4 linked regions of the Notamacropus eugenii genome follow. The main gene of each other region encodes a partner of the protein of the gene in region 3 in a complex. Links are inferred from orthologs where the notes say so. Each region holds a gene or a part of one and is shown on either strand. Other genes may lie near its edges.

Region 1 (8,017 bases), on a different chromosome or scaffold from region 3:
TGAGGTTGATCTTTCCAATAATTAGCACAGCAGCTTTGTAAGAACTGCATATCACTTTTCCCTACGGGGATACCAAAAAAAATCTTATCTCAACTGAATTCAGGTATGCTCCTTCTCCTAGAGTAAATTTAGTTTGTAAGAAGCAAAAGTGGGAGAGAACAGTCCTACTAACTGGTAGTCATGGTTCAAGGGAGCTGAGTGGAGCAAAGGCAGATATTTAACTATAACAGATCCCTGTGGTAGGAGTGGAATGTACTTCCAGGTAACAACTGAACCTCTTGGGTCTCAGGCAGATCTTTTATTTCTCAGGCCAACAGTCTCACGGAATGTTTTAATGGAGCAACTTGATTACTCCATATTGAACCATCACGCGGATTAGAGAATGATGTTGCCAGGCTCCAAAAGAGGTCTTGTCTGATCCTCAAATTGATGAGCAGCAGCTGTAATACAGGGACTTAGGGGGAAAGGGTTCTTCCATAGCTTCCAGAGAAACCCAAGGGGTTGAATAAAAAAAAAAAAAGCTCTTAGGAAAGAGCAAAAACTTTTTCTGTCCTCTGGACCTAACATTTTTAGTTCATTAACAGCAGTAGAAGCCAATTCTGGATCCTTCAAAAAGAAGTTCAGAAATCCTAGTGTATTCAAGAGGTTGAAGTCTGCACTTAGGTGAGAGTGTACTTTTCTTACCCTTCAGACAAGAAACATACAAGGAATGGATAAGCACTTGTGCAGCAGATGGATTTCCCTGTTTCTTTATTGACTAGCAGAATGAAGCAAGCCCCTAAGCCCCTACTAATGCCTGTGCCTCAAAGTCAGCCAACAGTCGTACGTATGAGCACAGTCGCACCATAGTAAGCAGGTGACAGTAGGACATAACACAGATTTCCCTGCTCTTAATCACAAATTAATGTCAGTATTCTTCAACTGTACTAGGGCCATAAAATGTCAGCGTCTTAAATAAGGAAGTGAAGTTCAGAAAACAAAGGCTTTTTCACGAATAACATGAGGGGACAGAACTGTCCCTAATGTGTGCATGTCTTCTCGAGTTAAATCTGCTTTGAGAGGAGGTACATTTGAAAATGTCATATTATGGAAAGTTTGTGAACTGGAACGGTCTCTTCAGAAAAAAGGAAAATGAACTAGTTTCCCACTTGAATATTCAACCTACCTGCCCATAGTTGTCTATGCCAGTTACTAATCTATTTAAATTTAACAAATCAAAAGCTGTCCTTAGGGATTGGCCAAGAGTCGTAAGTCCTTCAGCCTGAAGGTTTTTCAGTTCATTCATAAACGTGGCGTGGTTTTCTTTCCATCCAGCCTGCAAAGAGAAATGCACAATGGTTTATTTCCCCCCCACGACGGGCCTCGGGGCGCTCCTGGGGCCGCTGCCCGGGGCCCCCGCGGGGCGCGCCTGGGGGCGCGGCGGCACCACGTCCGGCGCGGGCGGCGGGCGGCTCGGCCGCGGCTCCGCTCCCGCGGGCTCCGCTCCCACGGGCTCCGCTCCCGCCAGCCGCGCGAGCCCCGAGCTCCCTTTAAAGCCAAACTTGAGCCCGAGTTGCCGCCGCCGCCGCTGTCACTTCGCTAACTTGAACACACATCCCCCACAGTGCCTTGCTGCCGCCGCCGCTCGCAGCACACGGGGGGAAATGTCGGCCATGTTGATAGCAGCGCCGCCGCCGCGGGCGGCCGCTCCGGCGGCGGGCAGGAGGTCGCGGCGCGGCCGCTCCTCTTCTCCCGGCCCCACGAGCATCGCGGGCGGGGGCGGGGGGCCGAGAGACGGGGAGAAAAGACGCCGGGGAGCGGGCCCGAGGCCGCGGCGGGGGGGAGGGGAGCATAATGAAGGGTGAATGGGGCGGGGGGAGGGGAGCAGGGCGAGAGAGGAAGGAATAAGGAAGGCAAGGCTGGGCTAGGCGAGCGGGGGAAGGCGAGGGCGAAGCGGGGCCGGGCGGGGGCCCTTACCTTGATAGCGTAGGGAGGCTCTTCGAAGGTGACCAGCATATACCTGTCTCCTCGGCTGGCCGGGTCCCGGGCACGGAGCTGCGAGGGAGCGGGAGAGGGGGGAGAGAGAACAGGGCGGGCGGGGGAGCACACAGCCCGGGTTACGAGGCATCCCCGCGGGCGGACCGAGCCCCCCCGCTCCCCACCGTGCAGCACACACGCAGGGCCCCCCCCCACCCTCCGGAGCCCCCCGCCCGACCCCAGCGCCCGCCCGCCCGCGGGGGTGGCGGGAGGGGGGGTCCCCACGCCGGGCTGTTCCCGCAGCCGGGTCTCCCCCACCCCCTGGCCACCCCCCCACCCCTGATCGTCCGCTCCCCGGGTCCACCCCGGCCGTGTTCGCCAGCTGGCTCGGTCAGTCGGTACCTTCATGAAGGTCTCTACCGCGCCTTTGGCCGTGTCCAGGTAGGTGGTGCCCAGATGGCTGCGCTGGTTCATAGAGGCGGACGTGTCTATCAGGAACAGTAAGATGGGCATAGTGCTGGCCGGGGACACCGGGGCCCGAGGTGGTGGAGGAAGAGGAGATGGTGGTGGTGGTGGTGGAGCTGGTGGAGGAGGTGGAGGCGGCGGCCGCCGCTACGTGGGGCGGGGGAGCGCGGCCCCCGGGAGGAAAACACGGTCGGGGGCTCTCCTCCGGCTGAGGGGAGTTTCTCCCCGGATAGTTGAGAGGAAACTCCCCTCGCCCCTGGCCACCCCAGCAGACCCCCACCTCCTCCTTCTGCCTGCCGGCTGGGCCGGACGCCCGGCCGTCTGTCTGTCCGCCTGCCTGACTGTCCGTCCGTCCGTCCACCCGCCTCGGGGGTCCCGTCCCCGCTCCCGGCCCCTATGTGTGTCCCAGCGGGAGACGGGCCTGGCTCCCCACCCCACCCCCGGCGCAGGGAGTGGGGACTCGGGAGCTGGCGAAGAGGGGGTTGGGCTGAGGGGGGGAATTGGCCCTGGGGCTGTTGGGAGAAGTTTCAGGGACTCCCCCCGCTCCCCGGCGGTGTCACCACTTTCTCGGCCCCTCTCGCTACTGAAGCGCTTTTCTCTCTCACACTCCGGTTTTAACTCGGGCAGGGGCTCCTCGGGCTCCGCCCCCCTGACACGTCCCCGTGCCATGTGACACGCCGCCCCGCTCTTCCATAGGCTGAACACTGTTCCCTCATTAGAATATTCAAACAGCAGAGGGGCGGGGGAAGTGGGACGGTCGGCTCGGGGGACAGTTATGGAGCACGCGCGGAGGCGAGGCGCCCGGGAGCGCGCGAGAGCTAGCGAGAGAGCAAGCGGGCTGGTGGGCAGGCGCGGAGGCGGGCCCCGGGCAGGCTCCGGGAAGGGGCGGAGAGGGGCGGCCGGGTGGGGGAGGGGAGGCACGCCGGGGCTGGCCGGGGCTGTGAGCCTGCGCGGCGGGGCCAGGCGGCCTCTCTCCTTGGCTGTTGGAGGTGATGGGGGTCGGGGGGAAGATGGAGGTTGGGCCGAGCCTCCCTCGCCCCCTCCCCCTTCTCCGAGGTGACTGAGAGCAGCCCGCGGCCTGGGAGGCGGGTGATGAGGGCGGGGAGTGGAGCGGGGCAGGCACTCAGGGAAGGGAGGCAGGGCCGCTGCCGCCGCCGCTGTCGCGGGAGGAGTCAGCTCCCTAGGGCCCCAGCGGCAGGCGGATCCCGGGCCTGGGGGAGGGGATCGCGGGGCTTGTTTGTGATCAGCCATCAGTCTCCGCCCCGAGCCCTGCTCTTTCTCTTCAGGCGCCCCGTGCCCGTCGAGGGGGCCCGACACCCGGATGGAGCCGGCACTTGGCCCGGCGTCGGGGAGCCGGCCCGGGCGAGGCGGGGCCGGGCCTCCTCGGGAAGGTTTTCGGGGGCTGACCCCCGGGGCCTCCCCCTATTGTGTGTGGCAAACCCCGCTGCGGGGAGTGGTGCGGAGCCCGAGAGCAGCAGGGTGGGGGAGGCGCGCTCCTCATGGCCGAACGAGCTCCCCTGCACGCCCGCCCTTGGCGCGGCGGGGCCTTGTTTACCTGCGCGGGCCTGCCTCGGGGCCCCCCGGGCACGGCCGGGCCCTGACCGGCCTGGCCCCAGCCCCTCGTACCGAAATGGAACCTGAACGCTGGCTGTCGACAAACAGCAAAGACCTTTTTCCCCGCAGTATCACACGGGTTCGGTTAAGATTTCAGCCTCATGTTTGTGGCACCTCCTGTTTTTGTTAAGTAGAAGCTTTAGGACGTAAACTTTCTTCCTGTTGTAAGATTTGGACCTCAACCATTTTGTCAGTTTACAGTGGCGCTCCTAAGCCTAGGCACTGCGCCATTGTGCCTGTGAACTACACCAAGCTGAAGGCAAAAGTAGCCTTTCCCTCCAGGACCTGGTGGTGTAGTGGAGAAGATGAGACCTATTGTAGAAATGAGTGGGGTCGTCAATACAAAGGAGGGGTTCGGTCCGGGAGACCGTTTCTCCAGGGTTACATCTGGGAAAGCTTGCTGGCAGAGATGGTTCTGACCCGGGTCTTGAAGGGTGTCATGGATGGGCCTGAGATAGAATTAGTCTCAGACGTGAGCAAAAGCATTCCTAGTTAGGAAAGTATTGAATGAGGTTAGGGAATGGCAAGAAATTCAACTTTTGTTGGAATGGTAATGGCTCACTTATATAGTTCGAGAGTTCCAAGTCGCTTTCTTCTCGACCCGGTGCAGAATGTGGGCAGTGTGGAGAGCATTCTGAGAAATGACTCAAAATTAAATGTAGGGGATAAGGGCCTCTTCATCCTGTGAGCATAGAATCCAGAATCCAGATTCTAGAGTTGGGATTCATAGAAGCCACATGTCTTATTGCTTCCTTGCCCCTCCTGTCTTAAAACCTACAGTGTTAAGAGCTAAGAACTGGAAATACTCAAAACAGGCAAAAAAAGTCAGGGCATTGGTAAAGAAAGTCGGAGTGAACAAGGCATCAGCATAATGGGCAGCCCAGGCAAAGATGGGTTTCGGTACTCTCTCCGTTTCAGAATCACTTTCCCTCCTCTTCCTCCTTCAGTGTTCCAGGCCCATTCTCATCTAGCCTTTATCCCATTCTTAATCTCAGCCTTGTGTCAATGAACTCTTGCTGATAATACCTTAAGGAGGGGTGGGGGATTTGAGGGAATGCAGAAGAGAAGCTTATGACAAGGTGACATGTACATCTTTTTTTTGACATGTGCTTCTTAAAAGGTTCAGATTTGGAGAAGTTTTAGAACCAGTGGAATGAGACTATAATAGTGGAATGACAAGTAGTGAGGTTTTGAGATATATCCCCTTTCCTGGTCACAATGACTAAGGTTTTAGAGAAAAGCCAAGTAGTATCTGATGTAAGAGCCTACCCCCTAAAACTGATAAGGGCTAGTTAAAAGTAGCCTAGTTATTACTAGGAGTAAATAGCAACTTGGCCTAGTACTTCTTTAAAAACTTGCTGATCCTTGGTTTAAATAATGTTCCCAATTATGGAAATAAAATTAGCTAGAGTTAGGATCTAATGAATTAGACTTACCTGCAATGGCCCACAAGAGCCATTATAAATTACCATAAGTCAATCAAGTAATGAACTGGAATATACATAGGTGCTAAGATCTGAGTTTGTGGCATTTGAATATGACATCAGAATCATAGAACCTCAAAGATGAAAGGGACCCCAAGGCCAGTTAATTCAACCCACACCTGATTGAGAAACCCTGTCTACAAAATTCTCAACCAGTAGTCTTCTAGCTTTTGCTTGAGAGAAAATTCACTACCTCATGAGGTAATCTGTTCTACTTTGAGGTAGCTCTTAAGGCTAGGAAGTTTTTTTTAAAGGGACCCAAGATCTGCCTTATGAAATTCTCACTGGGCCTAGTTCATCCCTCTGAGGCAAAAAACAAATCTAATCCTTTTTAATTAAAAAAAAAAAATCTGACCACAAAAAAAATTTTTATACACAGTACACAAATGGGGGGATTTATAAGAAACCATGACTCTTCTGCTTGCTTTTTTAAAAAAACTTGTCATTTTAAATTTTCAAAACTTCCCTTATCTCTACTTCTCAACTCCTTTCTGTTCTCTACATTTAAAAATGTTACAAGGGCCCTTTTTTTGGCATCACTATTGCTAAACCTCTATCCCCACGAGTTTCCTGCAGCCATTACCCCATTGTCAGATAAATAAAAGGAGAAAGAAAAGAAATTGTAACCAATAAACATAGTGAAGCAAAACAAATCTATGCACTGTCTATTTAAAAAAAAAAAAAAGTCTTTCTGTACTTTGAGTCTATCACCTGCAGGCAAGTAGGTAACATGTTCCATTTTAGGTCTTCTGGAGACATGGCTGTTCACTGCATTGAACGGAGTTCTTAAGTCTTGCAAAGTTGTATTCCTTTGTAGTGTCTGGCCTTGTTTAGATTGTTCTGGTTCTTCTCACTTCACTGTGCACCCAGGAATCTCTGAGACTATTATTCCTTGTATATTTTCTTATAGAATGCTAATCGTCCATTAAATTCATATACCACAGTTTGTTCAGGCATTCCTCAGTTATGTAAAGGAAATCTAAGACAAATGTATCAACCTTGTGGCCTGTGGGCTGCAAGTGGCTGCACAACTCCCAAGCTGCCTGAACCAGATTAAAATATAATTGAGAAATGTTTAACAAAATAAAAATGTAATACAACAGAGTTAATGTTAATGGGGGAGGGCTAGTTAGTATATGACCAGCAGGGAACCCTTTCTATTTTAGTTTTATACTACTGATCTGAGGCAACCTCTTAGAGTCTATTTCTTTGCTTTCCTTCACAAATGAGGAGTTTGTTCTGCTTTTGACTATTGCTTCTCCAATATTAACCTTTCCCAAACACCCTTTCTCTATCCCTGCTTGTTTGTTGAGTTTAATGGTTTCTACACCAAGCCTTGTGAGTGTGTATTCAGTCCTCTTTTTTTCCAGTTAAATGAGGTTCATCTGATGACCACTGCCCTCACTTTTTCTATTTACACCCCTTCTTCCTTGTTCCTCTGATGTTTTTCTTCTTTTACTTCCTTTCCCTTTCTCCTCTTAGAACACTCAAAACAAAATCAATCCACTCCCAGGATGACTTTTTTGTCATTTAACTGTCTTAATCTGTTTTAAAGACATTGATGTTCTGAAGGTACACTTGTTTTCATTGCCCCTATCAAAATGTTAACACTACATAGTCGTATGGATCCTTCCAATTGCTTGACTAAATTTCCTTTGGAGGTTTTTTTGGACTTAGTTTGTATTTCGAAGTTCCTATTCAGCTCTGATCTTTTCATCAGAAATGCTTGTAAAGTCCTCTTCCATTAAAAGTGTGGGTGGTTTTTTTGTGGGGTTTTTTTATTGGTCCGTAGGATACTTGGTGTTACAGAGTAAGTTCTTTGTCATGAGCCTGTCTCGTTTTTTGGAATATCATATTCCAGGATTTCTCATTTTATAGTAGAAGCTTCTTGATTCTGTGTGAATCCTAACTATGGTTCCTTGGTATTTAAACTGCTTATTTCTGGATGCCTGCAGTATTTTTTTCCCAAACCCTTTGCCTTGTGTCCTCCAATAATGTGAAATCACATCTTCTTACACATGTATAGTGTAGCATATAGCACCAACAGGCTTGCCTTCAGGGAGCTACCCCACCTGCAATAAGTAGAGATATTGTAGATATATTAAAAGTAACATGCAATTTGAGCTTGAGACCACTGGAGTAGAAGACCTCTAGGACGCCAGGACTACAGATGTAGAGGCTGGAAGAGACATCATGTCTTTCAGATATGGAAACTGAGGCCTAGGGAGATGAAGTGCTCAAGCACACTCAGGTAGTAAGAATCAAAGATAATATTTGAACTCAGGTCCTGTGACTCCAAAGCTACTACTCTTTTCATTGTTTCATTCTCTCTCTAGCTTGAAATTTCTATGATTCCTAAATGAGTTTCATGTCTCCAAACTGGCAATGGTTTCCCTTTGTTTTGGTGTGGATTATGTGGGTCATTAATAACTTTTCATGTTTACATAGTACTCTAAAATTCACAAAAAGCCTTCCTTGAGAGGAGTGGGTTATGATTC
Region 2 (7,293 bases), on a different chromosome or scaffold from region 3:
ATGATAATAGCTCATGTGGAGGCAGAATATTAACATTTACAAAGCATTTTTCTCACAAGGAGTCAGTGTATTAGTCAAAGAGAATATTCATGAAGAGACCTCAGGGATCATATATTTATTCAGTTTTGTAGATGTGGAAACTGAAGAGATAATAAAAACAAAACCTAGAAGGTACATAGTACAGATAGAATCCTATCCAATTTACAGAAGAGAAAACAGAAGCCACTTGTCCATGGCACCCCAGCTGGTAAATGTCCAGTTAGCACATGGGCCCACACTGCTTCACATCAAGGCTTCTCAGAATTCTTCAAAGCTAAAACCTGATGCCAATATTTAGGGGAAGGCTTTCCAGATTCTCCTTATTGCTAAAGCTCTTTTTCTTCTCAAATCATCCTTTATTCCCTTGTTTGTTTATATGTTGTTCCTCTCTAGTACCTCTAGTACCCCTCTGCTCCCTGAGGGAAGGGATTTCAGTCTATATGCCCAGCTCCAGACACCATGCTTTGCATACAGACACCTGATAAATCTGCTGACTTGGATACATTATTATTTTGAATGTATTTTTATATGCTTTGTTAAATATTTCCTAATAACATTAAAAAAATTATCATTCATTTTTAGAAATTTGGGGTTCCAAATTCTCCACCTCTATCCCACCCCTTGGAGAAAGCAAGCAATGTATCAATTAAACAGACAAAGTCATGCAAAACATATTTCCACATTAGCCATGATGCAAAAGAAAACACACACACTAAAGCAAGAAAAATAAGGACATTTTAAAAAGCATGCTTCAGTCTGCACACAGTTCATCAGACATCTCTCTGGAGGTGGACAGCATTTTTCATCACAACTCCTCTGGAACGGTCTTGGATCATTGTCTCGATCACAGTAGCTGAGTCTCTCAAAGCTGAATTAGATACACTAATAACAATAATTGATAATGATGTTGATCTGCTCATCAAGTCAGCCTTTACTACCTATATCACCTTTCCAAATCTGACAGGAGAGGAAAAACAAACCTCCCACATTCATCTCTCTGGCAAGGAAATGGCCTTAAAGCCTGGAGGGATTACAGAGGGAGAATCAACATGTTCCTTCACTCTAAGAACACCTCCTAAAGACCATGTGACAGACATCCTCTGGGACGATGCTCAGAGGGCCTTGGCCACCTCTCCTTTCTTCCACAGATGCAGTTATAGATAAGTTTCAAGGGCAGATGCTGCCTGCTTTTATCTACCAGGTTCTCCCACAGTTCTCCCTTTCCAGGAACAGACCTGGCTCTGCCAGTTTTACTGATTCTGTGAAGGAGAATCACTGTGTCTTTGGGATGCATTTTCCTCATCTGTACCAGTGAGATGGACTCGATGACTTTAAGGTAAAGGCCATCACCTTAAGAAGCTAAAAGAAGGTAAGGCAGGGAGGGCAAACAACTTCTGAGCCAGCATGTAACAGGACAAATCTGACACAAAATTGCTTTTGGGAACACTGTACTTAGTTTTCTGCCAGCTGCGTCCCTGGCAGAAGGCCGGCAACCTTGACTTTGCCCGGCCTATAGCAAGCACTTGATTAAAATGCTTGTGCCCAGAGATCACCCTCATTGCCTCTCCCCAGAATCTCCCCAGTCCTGGTCCTGACTCTGGAAGGCACCTGGGGTTCCACCAGGGCTGGGAGCTCCTAGGTGAGGACCAGATCTCCCCAGTCCTGGCCCTGACTCAGGAGGGCACCTGGGGTTCCACCAGGGCTGGGAGCTCCTAGGTGAGGACCAGATCTCCCCAGTCCTGGTCCTGACTCTGGAAGGCACCAGGGGTTCCACCAGGGCTGGGAGCTCCTAGGTGAGGACCAGATCTCCCCAGTCCTGGCCCTGACTCAGGAGGGCACCTGGGGTTCCACCAGGGCTGGGAGCTCCTAGGTGAGGACCAGATCTCCCCAGTCCTGGTCCTGACTCTGGAAGGCACCAGGGGTTCCACCAGGGCTGGGAGCTCCTAGGTGAGGACCAGATCTCCCCAGTCCTGGCCCTGACTCTGGAGGCACCGGGAGGGGGGGGGGGGGGGCACGTACAAGAGCTCCCTAAGCAGATGCAAACGCACTTGGGAGGACAAAGCAGATGAAAATACACTACGGGGGTGTCTCGGCCGAGGGTGGGGGCTCCTGCAGAGGTCTTTCCGGACAGTTAGGGGGCCCCCCCATGTCTATCAGCGGTCCAGAGATGCGGCACATGCCCAGGGCCGCCCGTCCAGTGTGAACTCAATTTGAACCCAGGTCTTCCTGGCTCCAGGAATCCCTCGCACTAAGCCCAGCTGCTTCTACCTACCCCTCCTCCTCCTCCTCATCGCTGTTAGTGTCATTTAGGGTGTAAAAGCACGTTACCTGGGTTATCTTCTTTGACCCTCACAACAACGGGAAGGGGCCAGGGTTGTTTCCATTTTACAGAGGAGGAAACAGAGGCAGGGAAAAATTAAAGTGGCTTGGTCAGGGGCAGGTGTCATTATTACCCCCATTTTACAGAGAAGGAAACTGAGGCAGGCCTAAGTTGAATGGTTTGGCAGGGCGGGGGCGTAAAGGTGGCCACTTATTAACCTCACGTTTTACAGAGGGGGAAACTGAGGCGGGCAGGCAGGGGACGCCCAGCCCGCACAAGTGCCCGCAAAGGGATTCGAACCCGCTCTCCCCTCGGCACCGACGGCCGGCGCAGAAGTCCGCGCAGGGCGGGGCAGCCTGGGGGAGGGGGGGGTCAGTCCCCACCTCCTACCGGCCCCCCCCTCCCAGCTCGGCCGCCGCTGGCTCCGCCCCCTCCGGGCCCTCGCCGGGGGAAGCGGCGGTGAGCGCGGACCTGTCCGCGCGCCCGCCAGGGACCCTCGCGGGCTGCGGCCCCCCTCCCCCACCGACTCACCGGGCCCACGCCCTCGGCCGCCTCTCCGTCCCGCCCCGGCGTCCGCTTCTGGAGCCGGGCCGCCGACACCCGCCGGCTGGCTCCCCGAGCGGAAAAACAAAGGTTCCAGGGGCACGGGGGGAAGGGACAATTTTCAGAGGTGCGACGACCGGAAGTGGCGCAGCTTCCGGTCCTCCCGTTTATGAATTGCCGCGCGCCAGCGCTCTCGAAGATCTCGGCGCTCGGGCTGGGTGAGCGGGTCGGGAGCAGAGCGGGGATCCCGGAGGAGCGGCGGGACTCGGGGGTGGGGAGGGGCTCCGCCGTTACCTTCCGGCTACGTACCGACCTAGGCCGCTACCTACCCTTCTAGGACTGGGTCCGGGCCGGGGCAGAGCTCGAGAGGCGGGGAGGAGGTCCTCCACCCTCGGTCAGCCTCCCGGGGCTCCGAGGCCGTGTGATTAAAGTAACTTTTCCTTAATCAGTCAATCAAGCATTTATTAAGCTCTTACTGTTACCATGGAAAGCCTTAGTGGTTTTCTCTTAAGCCCAAGCTGGAGCCCGGGGTACACGTGCCAGACAGATACGGGACCGCGGGAGGAATGTCTTGATACATTGTTTCCTCCTGTACACACCTGGGATACTAAACTGTCTGGGCTGGGGAATGGGTGTGCTTGTCCGCAGACGGGCTGCGCTAAGCATGTCAGTTACCATCTCAGACCGCGGGAGGAATGTCCTGATACATTGTTTCCTCCTGTACACACCTGGGATACTAAACTGTCTGGGCTAGGGGATGGGTGCGCGTGTCAGCAGACGGGCTGCGCTAGGCATCTCAGTTACCATCTCATTTGGTCCTCCCAACAACCCCGGCAGATGGGTGCTAGACTTCTCCCCATTTTGCAGATCAGGAAAATGAGTCAGAGGTTAAGTGACTTGCACAGGGATACACAGCAAGGAATAATAAATGACGTAACTTACTGCTTAAATAATATATATGTTATATGTAATATAAATTAAAAATAAAGTAATATAACATGTACGGCTTACTATGTGCCAAGCGCTTTACGGTGATCTCATTTGATCCTCACAACAACCCTGGGAGTAGGCCCTATTATTATCCCCGTTTTACCCATGGGGAAACTGAGACAGCAGTGAAGTGACTTGCCTAGGGTCACACAGCTAGGAAGTGTCTGATTTCTGATCTGAACCTACTGTCACCTACTATATGCTAGACACTGGGGCTAGGTAATGGGGATGTCAAGAATCCCTCTAAGTATCTGCCCTCTAAGAGTCTAAAGGGGGAGATGATAAGCAAACAACAGCAAACACAATATATACAGCCAAAATTGGGGATGAACAGCCACAGGAAGGCATTAGCATGAGTGATGCCAATTATTAAGGCTTCCTGTAGAAGTTGGCATTTTTAGTTGGGACTTGGAAGGAAGCAAGTAGCCAATCTTCATGAACCTCCCCCAAATCCTCTCTGCACCTTCAATTTTTAACCTCATCATTTGTGCCCTACCTGTGGTAGAGCCTTAGAAGGCTTGTATGCCACAGCAGGGTACCCTGTACCTTGACTTCCACATTGTAATATTGTTTTGGTCCTTTACCAGGGACAGCTAATCCGATAACACCCACCACTGGAAATGCACTTGAGATTTACTTTGTTGGAATTATAACTGGCATTAAAGAGATTTAGGGTCAGATCCCTGGGTCTTATTTTCCTCACTTGTAAGATAAAGGGGTTGGACTAGAAGGCCTTAATCTATGATCCTGTTTGAGTTAGGAAGCCCTCAGACTTGCTTTGAAAGCATCTTGGTGTGACCTTGGGCAAGACTCTGTCACAAGCTGCTATTTCCTAAGACAGATGTTCTTAACCTTTCTTGTGTGTCTCATGAACCCCTTTAGCAATGTGGTAAAGCCTATGAATTCTTTCTCAGAATGTTTTTAAGTGCATTAAGTAAAATAACCTAGGATGACAAAGGAAACTATTAAAATACAGCTGTCAGAATTTTTAATTTTTTTAAATTTTAAAATTTTTAAAAAACTTAACATTAAATTAAAAGTTAAAAACAAGTTCATGAACTAAGGAGAGAACCCCTGCAGTGTGACTATTAGTTGGGTCAAGTCAGCAAGCATTTACTTAAGAACCAACAATGTGCTAGCACTAGGGATCAAAGAAATGGCAAAAGATGAAAAAATATGTGGTGCTTTCAAGAAGCATGTTGGGAGACAGCAGGCTAGCAGAACATTTGTAAACCTAGAGTGGTGGAGGGGGCTTTTCCCAAGGGGAAGTCATGAGTCCTGATGAAATTGCAATGTTCAGGTATTCCCTTCCTCCTAGGACTCGGCTTTGAAGTTTCTCACTAGACTCCCTGGTCACTAAGTCTCCGGCTCCCTGGATCCCCTGGAGGATGCTCGTGCTAACAGCATATCAAATACTGACAGGGAAAATTAATTTTTTTTGCATTTATAGATTTTTAAGGTAATCAAAACAGCTCATGCCTGACTACAACCAAATGATAGTTTTGAGTAGGTTGATTTGAAAAGCTTTGTTATTATTCTATAGGAAATGCAAGTAGGAAGAATTAATATTCCTTGTAACAGTTTTAAAACATAAGCCTTGTCATTTAAATGGATAGCTTAATTTTTTTCAAGCTATTTTGAAGCTATGACAGAAAAAAACTGTTTGTAATTTGTCTTGTAAATAAATTTGGTATTAAGACCTTTGGCTGGTTTTTTTTTTTTAAATCCCTTGATGGAGAAGTCACAATGCTGGCTCTGATTGAGACTGTCTTTAACTGAAAATATGCTTTCCTGTTTTAGTTTTACTTTAAAGTATTAGTTGGAGAGGTCAGTGTGAATAAGCAATTCAGTTAAACAGTTCTTTAACGCATTACTTTTTCAGTGTTTCAGTTACACTTGTTTTCCTTATAACTTTTATGTCCTTTTTGACTTGAAATAAAGAGTCAATAATGAGCTTTCAAATAGCCTTTTAAAAGGGCAGCATTTTATTGTAAGATAAAAGCTATCAGATTCAGGTAGGGAGTGTCAGTGATGTCTAAGGTTTCAAGGGTTATGCTACCTGCTTCCCTCAGTATTCAGTGCTCTCTGCCTGTTTTATAATTTGTACACAGTATGAGAGTTTATGATATTTAATTATTTTTAGGTGGAACTCAGTACCTGATGTTGTACTTTGAAATTAAAGGTATTCTAAGTAGTCCACTGCTGTGATACTGGCTTCAGTAATTACATTCAAGCTGGTAGACAACCACATTCAGGCCCTGTGAAATGCCTTAATATTGTCAATATCCACCCTGTGGATCCCTTTTAATTATGAGGATACATCTGAGCATTTGGATTTCTTGGCAACAGAGTCTCTCTTTGTGGCCAAGTTTACATGAAGATGTTTTGCTTTTACATTTCAATCCAACTTCTTATATCCAAAGAAGCAGGTTAAATACTAACATAGCTTTTCGTCCATATGCCTTGACCTTTAGAATTGAACTTCATTTTATATAATTCTTTATGAAGTATCACCTCTGAATTGATCTCTATAAACTTCAGCTTCCTCAGACATATCATGGAATTTAATCGCATTCTAGCTGTTGCACCTTAAAGATTATCCTGACCAACGCTCATTTTGTGGATGAGAGAGAGAGAGGACCTGAACTCAGATCTAGATTTCTTTCAATTAGATCAGTCATCATGGTTTTCATGTAACAGCCCAATGAATTTTCTTTTTTCAAATTACCTATAGAATTCAGGATAGCAAAGTACAAGTGTAAAGTAGTAAAGAAAACATTTATTTGTAGCAAAATAGCAAAGAATGATTCTGCAACTAAATAGTTAAATTGGGGGGGAACAGAATATTTAGGTTAATTAGGCCAATCATTCCAGCATTAGGGAGGAGGAAAACTGTATCAAAAGATTCCATAAATCATTTAAATCTTATTTTGGAATGTTATCCTAAGTCATTTTACCCTAAGATTGGAAGAAGAGTTTTTTGTAAACTCTAAAGTAGTACGTATAATGTGAGCCATTGTAGTGTAACCCAGAAGAAAACCTCCCTTTTTTTGTAAGGTTACTCTTGTCTACAGATAGCCAGGATAGAGTGCTGGGCTTGTAATAAGAAAAACCCGAGTTTAAATCTGTTCTCAGATGTATTAGCTGTGTGACCCTGGGCACATCACTTAACTTCTGTTTGAATTAATTTCCTCAACTATAAAATCAGGATAATAATAATAGCACCTTCCTCCCAGGGTTTTGATGATCAAATGAGATAATCTTTGTAATAAAGTGTTTAGTAATGTTTAGAACATAGTAGAGACTATATGTGTTTGTTCTCTCTCCCTTCCCCACTCTCTTTCTGCTCCCTTCCCCCTCAAAATCCCCTCTACCATCTTAGAAGTTTCCTTGGACAGGGT
Region 3 (7,349 bases):
ACAAGGATTTCCTTTTGCATTTAATGTCTCCAAAGCTTAGCACAGTGCCTGGCATGTGGCAGGCCTTTAATAAATGTTTACTTAACTACTGACTAATGTGCTACCTCGTCCTTTTCTCTCATTCTCAAATCTCTACTGCATGGCTTCCAGAAAGCTTCATCATTCCACTGAAACTCCTCTCTCCAAAGTTATTAATGATCTGTCAATTGTCAAATTCAATGGCCTTTTTTCAATCCTTACCCTTCTCAACCTCTCTGTAGCCTTTGGATACTATTGATCACTCTTTTTTCCTTAACACTCACTTTTCTCTTGGTTCTAGTGACATAACTCTCCTGGTTGAGAGAAATGATTATCAATAACCAATGATTTGAGGAGATCCAGAGTTCTCCCCCTTTTCCAAAGTCCTGATTTTAAAAGATCAGACTAATCATGAAAGATTACTAATGAGCTAGGATTCAGAAACCACCCAGGTGGGAAAGCCACAGTGCCCTATTCAGGTCTGAGTAGGGATAAAATCTTTGAATAGATTGCCCAAGGATAGAACTAACCTAGAAGTAAAAGTCATAATCAAAGTTCAGGTCCAGCCCCTCATTGCACTATTCGTTCTCTCATTTTTAGTCAATCAGACTTGATTGCCACCCTGATCTCACCCCTCTTCCAATGGGCAGAGAAGCAGTGAGCCTGCCCCATGATTATCTCTGGTCTAAAAGAGAGACAGCCAAATTTAATTAAAATTAAGATATTATTAATAAAATTATCAAATTATCCAGAAAATTATGTCTCTTGAACCTTTTTAAAGACCACATGGTTCCCTTACCAATCTGTTCCTTTTCAGTATCCTTTGCTGGATTTCCATCCAAGCCATACATATCCACTAACTGTGGGGGGTTCCCCTAAGGTTTTGTCCTAGACAGAACATATCTCCCCCATACTGCTTTACATAGTGATCTCTTCAGTTCCTATGGATTCAGTTCCTATGTCTACACCAACTATCTTCAAATCCACTTATCCAGCCCTCACTCTCTCTCAGCCTAGCCCCCATATTCAATTTATTGCTTATCTTTTCCCACCTTACAACATTTCTAGAGTAGGCCCCTTCTCTTCTCTAACATGAAAACTACTTTGGTGCTGGGCCCTCATCACCTGGACTATTGCAATATCTTTTTGCTTGGTCTCCCTACCTCAAGTCTCTCCTCCAATCCATCCTTCACTCTTCTATCAAAGCTGTCTTCTTGGCCCACATCCTCACCTATTCAATCAACACCAATGGCTCCCTCCAGGATCAAGTATAAAAACCTTTTCCAAGTTCTTATACCTTAATCCCTCCCTCCTAACTCTGCAATCCAGTGGCACCTGCTATTTATTCCTCACAAGGGACACTCCTTCACCAGCACATTTTCCATGGTTCTCTTTCTTTCCTCTGCTTCTCTCATCTTCTGCAGGAAACCTTCCTTTAGTGCCTTTCCTTAGACATTATTTCCAATTTATCTTGCAGATGCCTTGCTTACACACAGTTGTCTTCTCCCATTAAACTGTAAGGTCCTTAAACCCAGACAACTGGTCTTATTTTCTCCTCAGCCTTTCAGTGCCTGGTCTGAAGAAGGAAGCTGGAGTCAGATTCTGGAGGGCTTTAAGTGCCAAAAACAAAATTTTTTTCTTTACCCTTGAGAGCCACAGGAGTTTTTAGAAATATAGACGTAATTGTGCTGGTTCAAAGCGTATGCCCGGTTTTCCAGTCCTTTAGGCACAGTCCTAAATTACTCACAAGACTGGCTGGATCAGTTTACAATTCCACCAACAATGCATTAGTGTTCTAATTCTTCCATATGCTCTCCACATTTAACATTTTCCATTTTTGCCATATCAGCCAATCTGATAGGTGTGAGGTGACACCTCAGAGTTGTTTTAATTGGTATTTCTCCAATCAGTAGTGATTTGGAGCATTTTTTCATACGAGTACAGTTAGCTTTGATATCTTCATCTGAAAACTGCTTGTTCACATCCCTGGACAAACTTGTCAACTGGGGAACGACCTGTATTCTTGCAAATCTGACCAACTTCTTGCGCTGGGTAATAGAAACAGCTAAGGCGCTTTCAACGTTTAAAAATAAAAACCATTTGTTCTACTTTGCTCTCATAGGTGAGTCAAAAACAGTGACAAAAGCCCTTCCTCCGCGGTATTCGCTGCAAATGCGACAAACCCAAGTCCAGAAGGTCCATCAATCCAAGCTAGGGGGCGCAATGCAGAGGCGGTGGGCCAGGAGTCAGGGAGACCCGAGTTCAAATGCGACCCCAGCCGTGACCCCGGGGGAATCCTTTAACCTGTGGGTCGTTAGCCGCTTGGCCCAGAAAGGCCTGATGTGGTCCCTGGGAGTCGGAGACGACCCAACAATCAAATGCCGGGCTCAGAAGGCACGTACTTTTAACAGGCCCAAGATTTTTATAAACCAGTTCGACTTTGGGGAAGCTAAAGGTTTGACAGCAGGTGCGTGGCTGGCGCGTGAATCCAGGGCTCCACGCCCCCGGCCCCGAACGCTTTCCCCTTCCCCCTCCAAGCCCTCCAGCTTGAGGCTGCGGGCATTTCAAAGTTCACCTCCCACACCTCCCGCGACCCACGGAAAGCGTGGAACAAACCGTGCCAGCTTCCGAGAAAAAGGACTACCCCCACTGCCAAGGTTACCGCGCATGCGCCCCTAGCTCGTCTTCAGGCCTCGACCAGCTGGTGGCGCCATTTCTCCCCGTCCTTCCCCCCCTCCCATTTTGACGCGGACGGTTAGCTACCGTGATACCTTTATCCAGTTCCATGAGGGCTGAGTTCGCATCCAGTTCCTGTTCGCCATAGCCGGCGTCTGCCAAGAAAGATTTGCTCGAATTCGACGCCATGGCGCTCTAACAGTAATTAGACAAGCCTATTCAGGATTAGAAACTCCGCAGCAACGCAACCATCTCCCTCCAATTTGTTCTCGCGTGTTTTCTTCCCCCCTACCTCGGCTTTCTGCCAGCTAATACCGCGCATGCGGCCTAAGTGCTCCGCCGTTCAGCCTTTCGTCTTCACCCGGCGCAGGCGCAAACGGAGCCAATAGCCACTCGCCCTGGGGCTTCCTCAGTGGGAGGAGGGAGGGCGGGTGAGAAGGAGGCGGGGATCTCGAAGGAGGCGTGGCTTGCGTCTCAGCGATGGAACGGCAGGAGCCAATCAGGTGGCGTTTCGTCAGTTTGGCGCGGAGTTTGTTGGCTGGAGCCGGTGGTGGCGGGAGTTAGCCGGTATAAATGGGCTGGGGACGGGGGAGAGGGCGTGGGGGCTGTAGGTTTTGCACCGCCTGCGGGTTTCCTCTGCTCCCCGGCCTTTTCCCGCCGCCTCAGATGCTGTTCCATTCGCTCCTCCGCCAGCCCCGCCTGGGCGCGATTGGGAATGGTAAGTAACGGTTCTAACGGTCGCTGGCAGGTCGGCGTCCCCAGGTCTCGGGCTGCCTCGCTCTCCCCCTCCCCTCCGCTACCCGGGCGCTCAGCCCCCCTGATCGGAGCCCCGGGCTTTCGTTGCGGCCGGGGCGCCCCAGGGGATGGAGAGAGCTTGCGGTGACCCCTCCCCCCGCCCGCCGAGGCTGGATGGGAACTCGAGGACGGCTGGCGGCTTGGAGTGCGCTTCCGAAACCGCGGGTCCAGGGCTGTCTCTGCGGGATGAGGGAAGGGGTGATCCCTTGAGATCCCCCTTAAAAAGTCCGAGCCTTGGGCGACTCTGAAAGCGCTAGATTAGCGCTAACTTAGGTTCATGTTTCTCCTTTCCCGATCTAGTTTCCCAGACTCGGCTCAGATCCCACCCGCAGGGGCCTGCCCTAGTCCTCCCCCCCGCCCCCTCCCATCCTCCCTCCTCACCTCCCGTTTACCTACGACGTATCCTGTTTGAACAGGTTTTTTACATGTGGACCCTTAGAACACGCGCATCTCGAGGGGCCCAGATCCCACCAAAATCTCGATTCCGCCTTCCTGGAGGCCCTTGCTCTGGGGCGAGCTCGGTGCGTGCCCTGCGTGCTGATGGTTCCCCGTTACCCTGGGAGTGCTTTACACCCCCAGAGCGGCTCCGAGGAGGAGCTGAGTGAATCCAAACCTGGGGACTTGGGGCAGGCACCGAGTGTTTGCCTCTTCTTTGTATCCCCCGGACTGAGCCCCGTGTCTGGTACCAAATAAATGGTTAAATTGTTGTGGATTGTCCGGGAGGGTTGCGAGCTCAAGGACGCCTCGGTCCTTATCTTCCTGCAAGATTCCTCCCCCATCTCTCCTCCATTTAACTCTGACTCCTAGGCCTAGAAACCAATTCTTATCTTATCTCTTCCTGTTCAGCTCTCCCCCTTCGAATTCCCTGATTCCCTTATTATACTTGTGCGTATCCGTGGTGTACCCCTCCTACCATTATATTACAAATATCTTAGGGGCTGAGACCCCTTTCATTTTTTTTCACCTTTGTATTTCCAGTACAATTCCTTGCAAGTACAAAGTGTCCCAAACCTCTTAGTGCTTAAAAAACTGCATTTTTGAAACATCTTATATTAGGCTCTTAATAAATGTCTGTTGTACTGAGAGATCTATTTAGAATTAAAACCTCTCTAGTATTCAGATTGACTTTGTTTGGGGCAGACATTCTTACAGATGAACCAAATGCACAACTTAGAAACAGCAAAACAGTTTTTTAAAGCACATTAATCAAGAATATGGAATACTTGCTAATCAAGCAAATGTTAATTTTATGGCACTAAGTACTGCAGGTGCCTGTTTTGATGGATGTACAAAGAAGTACAGGTCACTTGAAAATTATTTGTGTTTCAAAAGTTCTTTGTAAATTGGTCGAGTTCACACATTTCCCCACGGAAACAATATTGTAAATTGTGGTTAGATTTCTTACCTGTTTAATCCACAATGAAGATGAAATAGTACCAGACGGTATTATATTCTGATTAGAGAACCTAATAACCATTATATGGCATTGTTTCTGTGGGAAACGAGAAGGAAAGGATTGTGATAGCATTATTTGAGTGCTTTTCACCTCTCTTCCACCATAGTGAAATAGAGCAGCTTGGCAAGTAGTAAGAAAGGAATAATATGCCTTAGAGAATTCTTCCAAAGAAAGTCTGTCCCTGGCGCAATAGTATGAATTGACCATTTTTATGTATAAGGGATTTGTGTATCAGAGAATTCTGGTTTAAGACATGGGTTCTTGGATCTCTATTCATCTACAAAATATTCAGTTATCACTTACATTTTAAAATTAAACTCTCACCTTTCCCCCAAACTTAGTGTCCAATCTGGAATTTCTTCCCTTTCCCACATAGTCTCCTCTTTCACTATTCCTAATCTTTTGGAATACAAACTTCTTTGAGAGCAGTCTCTCTGCTTTTGATTCTGTATCCCCAGGACAGCACAGTGCTTTGTTATGGGGTCCCCTGAACTTGTCTTTTTGAGTTGCCATATTTTCCAGAAACACTAGACCCAGAGCATGCAGGAGGCCAGCCCTGCATGTGTTTGGGACAAAGCTGCCCCGCAGCTGACATAATTTGTTGTTTGCACCCGGACCTGGATTACTGTGTGTCCTTGGGAGACAAGACAGGCACCAGACAATCTGTGCCAATCTGGGAAAATATTTGTGCAGCTGGGGTCCTTTGCAGATAAGCAGGACTCCTCCTATCAAAAGATTGGGGGGGAATCATAGCCTCACCTGCATTTGAGGGGCCTTGAATAAAAGTAAAGGGTTACCTAACTTCAGAGGGGCACTGAATAATTTTTCTTTTTGGAAAAGGGGGCAATAGGCTAAATAAGTTTGGGAACTTATGGTTTAGTGGTTTCCAAGGTAAAAGAATTTGGCTTTTGCCATCACCTTGTTCCTCCCCTTCAGGAGGAGCTTTACTGCACCTTTCCCCTCCCATGTCATACCTTTTAGGTGGAAATATATGTTTTTTCCTCCTCCTTTTGTTGTACTGTCATAAATATGCAAACTTCTGTAAGGACTGTGAACTCTTTGGGTTCCACATGCTTGTTCGTTTCTCTTGTAAAATAAAACTGGTTTTCACATAAGTCTCATGAGGTGATTGTTGACCCCTTGGAATAAAGTACATGTTTTTCATTCATCTAATCAGATTTCAAATCCTATTGATTATTCCTTCCTAATATATCTCATATCTGCTTCTTTCTTTCCATTCAGATTGCCACCATTCATGTCGAAGCCCACTTTATCTCATATCAGAACTACTGAAATAGTAATCTACCTGCTCTGTCTCTAGTCTACCACTCATCTTTAGCAAATTAATCTCCCTAAACATTGCCTTGCTTATGTCATTCTTCTGTCCCCTCTGTTCAGAAATCTTAAAAAGACTTCCATTGCCTATGCTATTCTTTAGCTATTATTCAAAGCCCTGTTCAACCACTCCCTTTACACACACCTATTTAAAATGGTTAAAACATAGATTGTTGATATCATTTGTTTTTAGCTTATCTATATTTCCCGGTATTTCCTCCTTTCTGGAGAGCTATCCTTTATAACTATTATGAAAAGTGGCAAAATTAGTCAGCATTTGAAAAAAGTCTGATTTTATAGGTAGTATTCCACATCAATAGTTCTTTACCTTTGCAAGGAAGGCAGGGGAAGTACACACACATCTAACTTTATATAGAGAACTTCTCTAAGGAATCTGTGTAATCAGCCCAACCTGTTCTTTTCATGTTGTCCACATTCCTGCCTCTCTGCCTTTGCAGAAAGATTAGAAGATTGTTACAAAATAAGTTAGAAGATTGGGTACATCCTCCATGTACTTACTGGAAAATATATTATCCATAATAAGGCTAGGGGAGGAGTGAGAGGGATGTGTTTTACATTTATGGAGAGTCATCATGGATCCAAAAAAGAGCCAAGTATTAGATCAGAGGTGGGCAATCTGTGGCCTTGAGGCCACATGTGACCCTCTAGGTCTCCAAGGGCTGCCCTTTGCCTGAATGCAAACTTCACAGAACAGATCCCCATAATAAAAGGATTTGTTCTGTAAAAGTTGGACTCAGTCAAAAAGCTGCATCCAGGGACCCAGAAGACCACATGTGACCTGGAAGTCGCAGGTTCCCCACTCCTGTCTTAGGTCCTGACTTTCCTTTCAAAATCAATTTTAAGTTTCATCTCCTGTGTTTCCCAGTTTCTCCAATGAAAATGTTTTTAGTACACCTATACTGTTCATTTGCCATTGATTCTACGCTAAGAAAGGGTATTTGTTAAAGCCAAATCTGTTTGGCTTTAACAAACCTATATCTCCATATCTTTATGTGTAAGTGTAAGACATAATATATTTCTTGATACCCCTAACCTAATATATAATCAA
Region 4 (6,917 bases), on a different chromosome or scaffold from region 3:
CAAAATGTGACACAGAGACATGATGTGAGCATGTGCTGCTGGAAAAATGACACAGATAGACCTGCTCAATTGCATGGTTGCCACAAACCTTCAGTTTGTAAAAAAAACCAAAAACCTGCAATATCTGTGAAATGCAGCATCTGGTAAGACCTTTACTTTCACACCATCATTTCCTCTGGTTCTCTCCTCCATCCAATGTACAATTTAGCCAAATGTCTCAAGCCAGTCTAACTTGGCAGGTTCTTCCCAAGGTTTATCACTCTTCTGACCCAGACTTTGAGAACCCAGAATGCCCCACAAAGAGGCATCTCAGGAGGAATTCAGGGGTAGTCTCCTTACCTTGTAATAATGTTCCAAGAGAATTCTGACAACTCCCTCCACACTCTCGGCCTCCACTGGTTTTCGAGCAAATTGAAGGAGATACTGCAAGGCATCTGCTGGGGAAGTGGCTTTGCAAAGATCTATGTGGAGTGCTGCTGACTTACTTGGTTTTGTCAGCCGGAGCTTCTTGGTTGCAATTTCTTCATGTTGTTGCTGCAATGGATTAAAGCAGATTACCTTGGTGAAGGAAAATAAGAAAATAAAAATCCCTCCAGTCAACTCTCTAAGACTAAATTACAGATGAGTTGCGAAGTTCTATGGATTCTGTGTTCTCTCCAGTGAGTAGCAGTGCAGGCACATCAGGAAGCATCACCCAATAAAGGCTTGTTAACTGATTGATTCCATGAGACTGACCTCCCCACCTCAGATGTTACACGGCGCTTTGTTTTACATTTCTCTAATAGACATATTTGGCAGCTAGGTGAAGAATATAGAGCTGCAGCCAAGAAGACCCAAGTTCACATCCTCACACACTTACTAGTAGTATGACCCTGGGTAAATCACTTAACTCTGTTTGCCTCAGTTTCTTCATCTGTAAAAATGAGCTAGAGAAGGAAATGGCAAACCATTCCAATATTTCTGCCAAGGAAATCTCAAATGGGTCACAGAGTTGGCACGACAAAAAAAAATACACTTAGGTACTGCTTAAAACTTAGAACACAACAAGTAAGTGGAATCATTCTTAACTTCTCCCTTTCTTTCACCCTGACATTATCCATTCAGCTGACAAACCTCTACCTCCACATCTCTACCATTTGTCCTGCTTTCTCTACTCACACAACTTGTTCATAGACCTTCATATGCTCTGGTCTATACTACTGTTGTTGTGTTTGTCCTTTGTTCTCGAAGAAGACCATGGCATCAAGATGATGACATGACTTGCAGTTGACTTTGATTTGAGTGAGGGAGGGCTGTGCAAGGTCACCAGCCTCACTTTCTCCTCCAGAGCCATCTGAATCCAGTGACCAGATATTCATCAGGATGACTGGAGATGGCCCAGGATGTAATGTGGAACCCTGGCCCTTTCAGGCTAAGGTCACACTCTCACTTTGAGTGAGATACACCTATTCAATGAACAGCTTCTTTAAGTTACTCAAGGTATGATCAAAATGATCTGTAATCAAAAAAAAAAAAAAGGTAAATCTTCTAAACTGGTCTTCCTACATTCAAACTCTGTTCTCCAAATTCATATCCCAAACAACTGCCAAATTCATATTCCTAAAGCAGTCTTTAGGATATCTTGTTGGTACATAGTTTTTAAACTTCATCTCTCTGAATAGACTATGAACTCTTTAACGGAATGGGCAGATTTTACCTCTGTTGTATTCTCGTCCAGCTCACTCACCCATTTTTAACCTCATGCTTTCATTCAAGAAGCTTCGGTGGCTCCTTATTCCTTCCTGGATACAATACAAACACCTCTACTTGGCATTTAAAGGCCTTAACAATTTGGCAGTACCCTACCTTTAAGGCTGATTATATGTGATACACCCTGTTCCACTTCCTCTCCCTATTTTTCCACGGCTTGTCCCCCTAGGCCTGGGAAGCTCTAGAGTTCCTCACTTGGACACTTCTACACCTGCCATCCAGAGCCACTTTCTACAGTGGCTTCCTCTAGACCACAACCTGGGAGATGTAACTTTTTATTCATTTTAGATACTTTGTATCCACAATTCTGCCTACTGTTCTTTTCCACCCAATACCACAAAACTTCCCTTAGTATCTGCCTGAGCTACAAGCTGCTTCTAGAACTACCTGGCTGTGCAGCCCATTGCAGAGATGAGCTGGCCGAGCCCCAAAGAGTAGTTTGTGTGACTTCCACATTCCTCCGCTACAGAGGGAGGGATGGGACCTGGGTTCCCGTTATCTCCTAGGACTGAGCTATCTCGGGAGGAGCACGTTTGGTGATCACACAAATAGGCTGGGCCCAGCACAAAAGCCAAAAGGTAAAGTTAGGCTGGAAGGAGCTTGAACTTCCCAACAGAGCTCTGGGGGCTGGGCTGGGCGGCCTCTCAAGTCCCCCCCAACTCAGCTGACCCTCACTGCTTACAGCCCTAGCAAGAACGCTACGAGATGACTGTGCCCATTGTACAGAGGAGGAAACTGAGGTCTGGAGAACAAGGGATCGGCGAGACCGATGCGGAACTAGGAGCCGGCCGGGCCTCGAGAGGAGCCCTCGGAGGTGGCGCCCCGGGACCCACGGTCCTGCTCCCCAGCTGCTGCCGCAGTCCGCCAGGCCGAGGGCCGTTTACCTGCACGACTTTGGTGAACTCTTCATACACCCGCTTCTTTAGATGCGCGGCCATGGCGGCGGCTGGGGCAAACAGCACCTCCAGCGCCGCCTTTCTCTTCCGGGCCGGCCCTTCCCGGCCGCCGTAGCCTCGACCGGGCCTCCCCCCACCCCCCCCCCCCCGCAGCCGTGGAGAGTCCCGCTGAGCGCGGGAGGGGAAGGGAAGTGGAGGTCGGAGCTAGGACTGGGACTCCAGTATCCCACAATGCAGCGGGGAAGGAGGAGTGGCGTGGATAATGTGAGCTTCCCTTCCCCCTCAAGGCGCTCGATCTCCCGCGCCCGCCCCCGCCCCCACTCCCCCTGCAACAGATGAGCCTCGTGCGACTTCGGGAATGAAAACAAGAGGAGGAAAGAGACAGGAGAAGAGGTGGAGAGGTAGCAGGGAGAGGGGGCGGGGCTTGGGTGGGCAGGTAGCCAGTGAACGAGGGCGGCCGGCCGCGGCGCGTGGTAATTGGGTGGAGCTCGTGGAGGGGCGGAACTGAAGGTGGAGCGAGCGGAAAAACGCGGAGCCGGGTTTGTCCCTGGAGCAGGAGAGAAGTGTGGTTGAGTGAGGGAGGCGCTGGGTGGGGGCTGGGCCCGGGGTGACTGAGGAGAGGATGCCCACTAACTAGGGCAGAGTTTTTGTGAAGGGGAAGGACGGGGAGAGCTATGGGCGAATGTATGAAAAGAAAGAATGTCTGGGGGAGAGGGGGAGGGGAAGCTTGTGTGAGGGGGGAGTGAGGGATGGTAGAAAGTGGGGGGGTGGGAAGGGGCGTGTAGGGAGGCGGGAGGAGGAGAGAAGGGGGAGGGAGTGAGGGATGAAAGGGAGTAGGGGATGCGGGGGATGGGAGGGTAGGCAGAGGATGGGGTGAAGATGGGGGCTGGGAGGAAAGAAGGAGGGAATGTGAAGGGAAGAAATGGAGGAAAGGAGAAAGAAGAGAGAAGAGGAGGATACGAGTGTAGATGGTGGGAGATAAAAAGAGTGAGTGTGGTGGAGAGAAAGCGTGGGGGATATCTGATGGGAAAGTGGGGGACAGGAGAGAAAAAGACCTATGTGAAGAGTAGGGAGGAAGGGTGAGGGGATAGGGATTTGTACGGGGAGGTTGTTGTTGTGTTTGTCCTTCGTTCTGAAGAGGACCTGTGACATCAAGATGATGACATGACTTCCAGTTGACTTTCATTTGACTAAGGGAGGGCTGTACAAGGTCACCAACCTCATTTTCTCCTCTAGAGCCATATGGATCCAATGACCAGATTCATCAGAATGACTGGCAACAGCTCAGGATGCAATGAGAGACCTTGGCGTCTTTTAAGCCAGGGGACATGGTAGAAGAAAGGATATGTTAGGCGTCAAGGCATAGAGAAAAAGGGAGTGAATGTGGGGTTATGGTAAGAGGGAGTGGGAGTATGTGTGAAGGAAATGGGGGTGAGGGGTCTGTGAGTTGGAAGGGGAGTTGGGGAGGATCTGTGTGAGGGGAAAGAGACTCAGATGACTCCAAAGGAGAGAAAGAGGCTGTTGACTTTGCACAGCCCTCCTTCACTTCAGTCACTTTACTTGCAAGTGGCAGCATCACCTATTATCTTCTCCATGCCACGAGGACAGAGGACAAACAGAACAACTACAAGCTCTGGCAGGGGTTTGTAGGAGTGACCTATCAATGAATGTTATTCTTTGAGAACCCAAATTGGCCCCATCACTGGCAGTGGGGTGCCCACATGATGAGATCAGTCTTTTCTGGTCAGAAGAGAGACAGAAAGAAAGGAATCTAGTTAGATGCTATGACAAGAGAGAAGGAAGAGGACGCTAACTTAGAGTGATAGCAAGAGACTGTAGTGCAGCTTGGCATGGTAGTAAAAACACTAGTTTAGGGTTCAAATGCCACCTCTGATGCTTATTACTAGTATAACCTTAGCCAAGTCTCTTGATTTCAGTAGTCTTAATTTCTTCATCTGTAAAATGAGGGAGTGGGATTATATGACTTCTGAAATCCCTTCCAGCTCTAGATTTATTAATTTGCTAGCATTTCAAAGTAGCAGGAGTTCAGTGTTGCAGGAATTTAAAGAAGAGAGAGAGATTAACAAGACTTAAAAGGTCATGAATCTAGAGCTGGAAAGTACATCAGAGACCGTCCAGTCCAACTGCCTTATTTTACAGATGAAGAAACAGAATGTAGTGGTTACATGACTTGACTAAGATAAAAAAAGATAGTAATTTCAGATTTGAATTCAGACTTGACTCTAAGGTTTTGAGTTGGTGTGAATGAGAGATTTTAAAATGCCATTAAAAGAGAAAAACCAAGAGGGTCAATAGGTTGGGAGAAGGTTGTGAATTCAGGATATGTTAAGTTGAAAGGGGATTTGGAGCTTTGAGCGGAGGGAAGAAAAAGTCTTGGGAGTCATCTGCATAGAAGCAGTGGTTGAAGCTGTGAGAATATATGCATGTGCTTTCTGAAGAAATGTACTGAGAGAAGAAAAGGGGTGTAATGATTGAATTTTAGTGATTCAATTAGGGAGCAAGAGAAAATGGTAGAGAAGGATGAGAGAATAGGCCAAAGACATATGGAAGCCAAGAATTTCAAGGAGGAGAATCCTTGCCATCCTTATCCCATAAGACATCTGGAAAAGCAATAAGAGAGCAGTTAGGCAGTAGGCCAATGTGTCTAGCCTTGAGAATGTCATGGGGAATAAAGTCCCTGATTGTCTCTTATTCATAAGAATTCCCAACAGCTGTGCTAATTCTCTTAAGCTTCCCACTTTGTAATCAGAACTTTAGCAGGTAATTGTATGAAAAATGAAACTTGCATTTTAACTGTTACCTAGGACTGTTATTAACAATCTGTTCTAATTCATAGAATCCTATATAAACTGCTTCCATTTAGACTGACTTGTGAAAGACTGGGGTTAGAAAAAGTTCAATTTACATCAGAACTAAACTTTCAAAATATATTTAAAGGAACGCTGTTGGTGTGAGTTAACAAGGATCGAGGGTCCTCATGATCCTCCTAATGAAGAGCAATAGAAATATCAGAAAGAAACCTGGAACTGACCAAAAAGGCAACAAATTCTAATATTAATTTTTTTTTAAATTACTGAAAGAAGGGGGAAATGCCAGAAAGAAGGCACCCTGAGACAGTGTCAGAAGTTACATCTAAAACAACACAAAGAATCTTTGGAGATGCGCTGACACAGATCAAAGGCACATACAAGGAATTAAAGAAGAATCAAACTTAGAAAAAAGAGTCCTAGAGGAAATAAAAGAAGAAATGAATGCAGCTAAGAAATCCCAGGAGAACATAACAAGCAAACAAAGCCAGATAAAACTAGAAAATAGCTTAGAGGACTTGAAAATTTCACTGGATATAGCTAAAAGCAGAATTAATGCAGTGGAGCAAAGAGCAGCAAGATAATGCAATTGAAGGAGAAAAGCCAATTCAAAAAATAATTCACCTTGTGAACTGATCCATTCTGGAGAGCAATTTGGAACTATGCCCAAAGGGCTATAAAACTGTGCATACCCTTTGATCCAGCAATACCACTGCTAGGTCTGTATCTCAAAGAGATCCCCCAAAAGGAAAAAGGACCTGTTTGTGCAAGAATATTTATAGCAGTTTATAGCAGATAGAAACCTAGGGGGTGCCCCTCAATTGGGGAATAGCTAAACAAGCTGTGGTATGATTGTAAAGGACTATTATTGCACTATAAGAAATGACAAGCAGGGTGATTTCAGAAAAACCTGGAAATACTTACATTAACTGATGCATGTTGAAGTGAACAGAATCAGGAGAACGTTGTACACAGCAACAGCAATATTGTTCAATGAAGAACTGTGAATGACTTAGCTATTCTCAGCAGTACAATGATCTAAGACAGTTCCAAAGGACTAATGATAAAACATGCTTTCTGCATCCAGGGAAAGAACTGATATTGACTGAATACAGACTAAAGCATGCTATTTTTCACTTTATTTTTCCCTTTTATTCAAGTCTTACAGAATGACTAATATGGAAATGTTTTACACAATTGCACATGTATAACCTGTATCTTATTGCTTACCATCTAAGGGAGGGAGAAGGGGAGGGAAAGAATTTGGAACTCAAAACTTTAAATAAAAATGTTGAAGATAAAAATAATAACACATTTGTGAAAAATATGTAAGCATTGCAGAATAATGTTATAGATTGAGAGAACTGATTAAGGAAAGGGAACCTCAGAATTATTAGCATCCCAAAACACATTGAAAAGCAAAATTATCGGGTTGCCTATCAAA

What was found.
Region 1: INTS7 (region 3) and INTS6 share a complex: the UniProt entries of both Homo sapiens proteins name them as parts of the integrator complex. The link is inferred for Notamacropus eugenii from reciprocal best matches to the Homo sapiens genes INTS7 and INTS6.
Region 2: INTS7 (region 3) and INTS12 share a complex: the UniProt entries of both Homo sapiens proteins name them as parts of the integrator complex. The link is inferred for Notamacropus eugenii from reciprocal best matches to the Homo sapiens genes INTS7 and INTS12.
Region 4: the proteins of INTS7 (region 3) and INTS4 are in contact, whole or in part, in a cryo-EM structure (PDB 8RC4), measured with the Homo sapiens proteins. The link is inferred for Notamacropus eugenii from reciprocal best matches to the Homo sapiens genes INTS7 and INTS4. Residues at the interface, in NP_056249.1 of Homo sapiens: Lys137, Asn138, His140, His141, Arg144, Gln145, Gly175, His205, His206, Asp207, Ala208, Ser244, Ser245, Leu246, Val247, Lys282, Thr283, Pro284, His285, Thr286, Thr321, Ile322, Lys325, His326, Gly686, Tyr689, Glu704, Gln707, Gln708, Leu711; in NP_291025.3 of Homo sapiens: Glu536, Met539, Asp540, Arg571, His572, Ala574, Tyr575, Asp578, Ser579, Ser610, Phe613, Arg620, Leu624, Leu627, Gly631, Glu634, Leu635, Phe638, Arg641, Asp642, Arg645, Leu646, Glu648, Leu649, Gln650, Lys677, Leu678, Trp679, Asn680, Val681.

The regions. Positions count from the first base shown.
Region 1 is NC_092876.1:104,426,749-104,434,765, reverse strand, and holds the start of INTS6 (integrator complex subunit 6), read right to left. Parts: upstream 3,007-8,017; 5' UTR 2,470-3,006; coding exon 2,359-2,469; intron 2,035-2,358; coding exon 1,957-2,034; intron 1,316-1,956; coding exon 1,166-1,315; intron 1-1,165. UniProt on the Homo sapiens protein: Component of the integrator complex, a multiprotein complex that terminates RNA polymerase II (Pol II) transcription in the promoter-proximal region of genes.
Region 2 is NC_092878.1:125,219,651-125,226,943, reverse strand, and holds the start of INTS12 (integrator complex subunit 12), read right to left. Parts: upstream 3,004-7,293; 5' UTR 2,891-3,003; exon of another isoform or gene 2,857-2,890; intron 2,736-2,856; exon of another isoform or gene 2,368-2,735; intron 1,409-2,367; exon of another isoform or gene 1,253-1,408; intron 1-1,252. UniProt on the Homo sapiens protein: Component of the integrator complex, a multiprotein complex that terminates RNA polymerase II (Pol II) transcription in the promoter-proximal region of genes.
Region 3 is NC_092873.1:426,296,130-426,303,478, reverse strand, and holds the start of INTS7 (integrator complex subunit 7), read right to left. Parts: upstream 3,013-7,349; 5' UTR 2,884-3,012; coding exon 2,790-2,883; exon of another isoform or gene 2,782-2,789; intron 1-2,781. Other genes in the region: DTL (denticleless protein homolog), read left to right, coding at 3,268-3,412. UniProt on the Homo sapiens protein: Component of the integrator complex, a multiprotein complex that terminates RNA polymerase II (Pol II) transcription in the promoter-proximal region of genes.
Region 4 is NC_092876.1:125,487,440-125,494,356, reverse strand, and holds the start of INTS4 (integrator complex subunit 4), read right to left. Parts: upstream 3,014-6,917; 5' UTR 2,688-3,013; coding exon 2,634-2,687; intron 535-2,633; coding exon 340-534; intron 1-339. UniProt on the Homo sapiens protein: Component of the integrator complex, a multiprotein complex that terminates RNA polymerase II (Pol II) transcription in the promoter-proximal region of genes.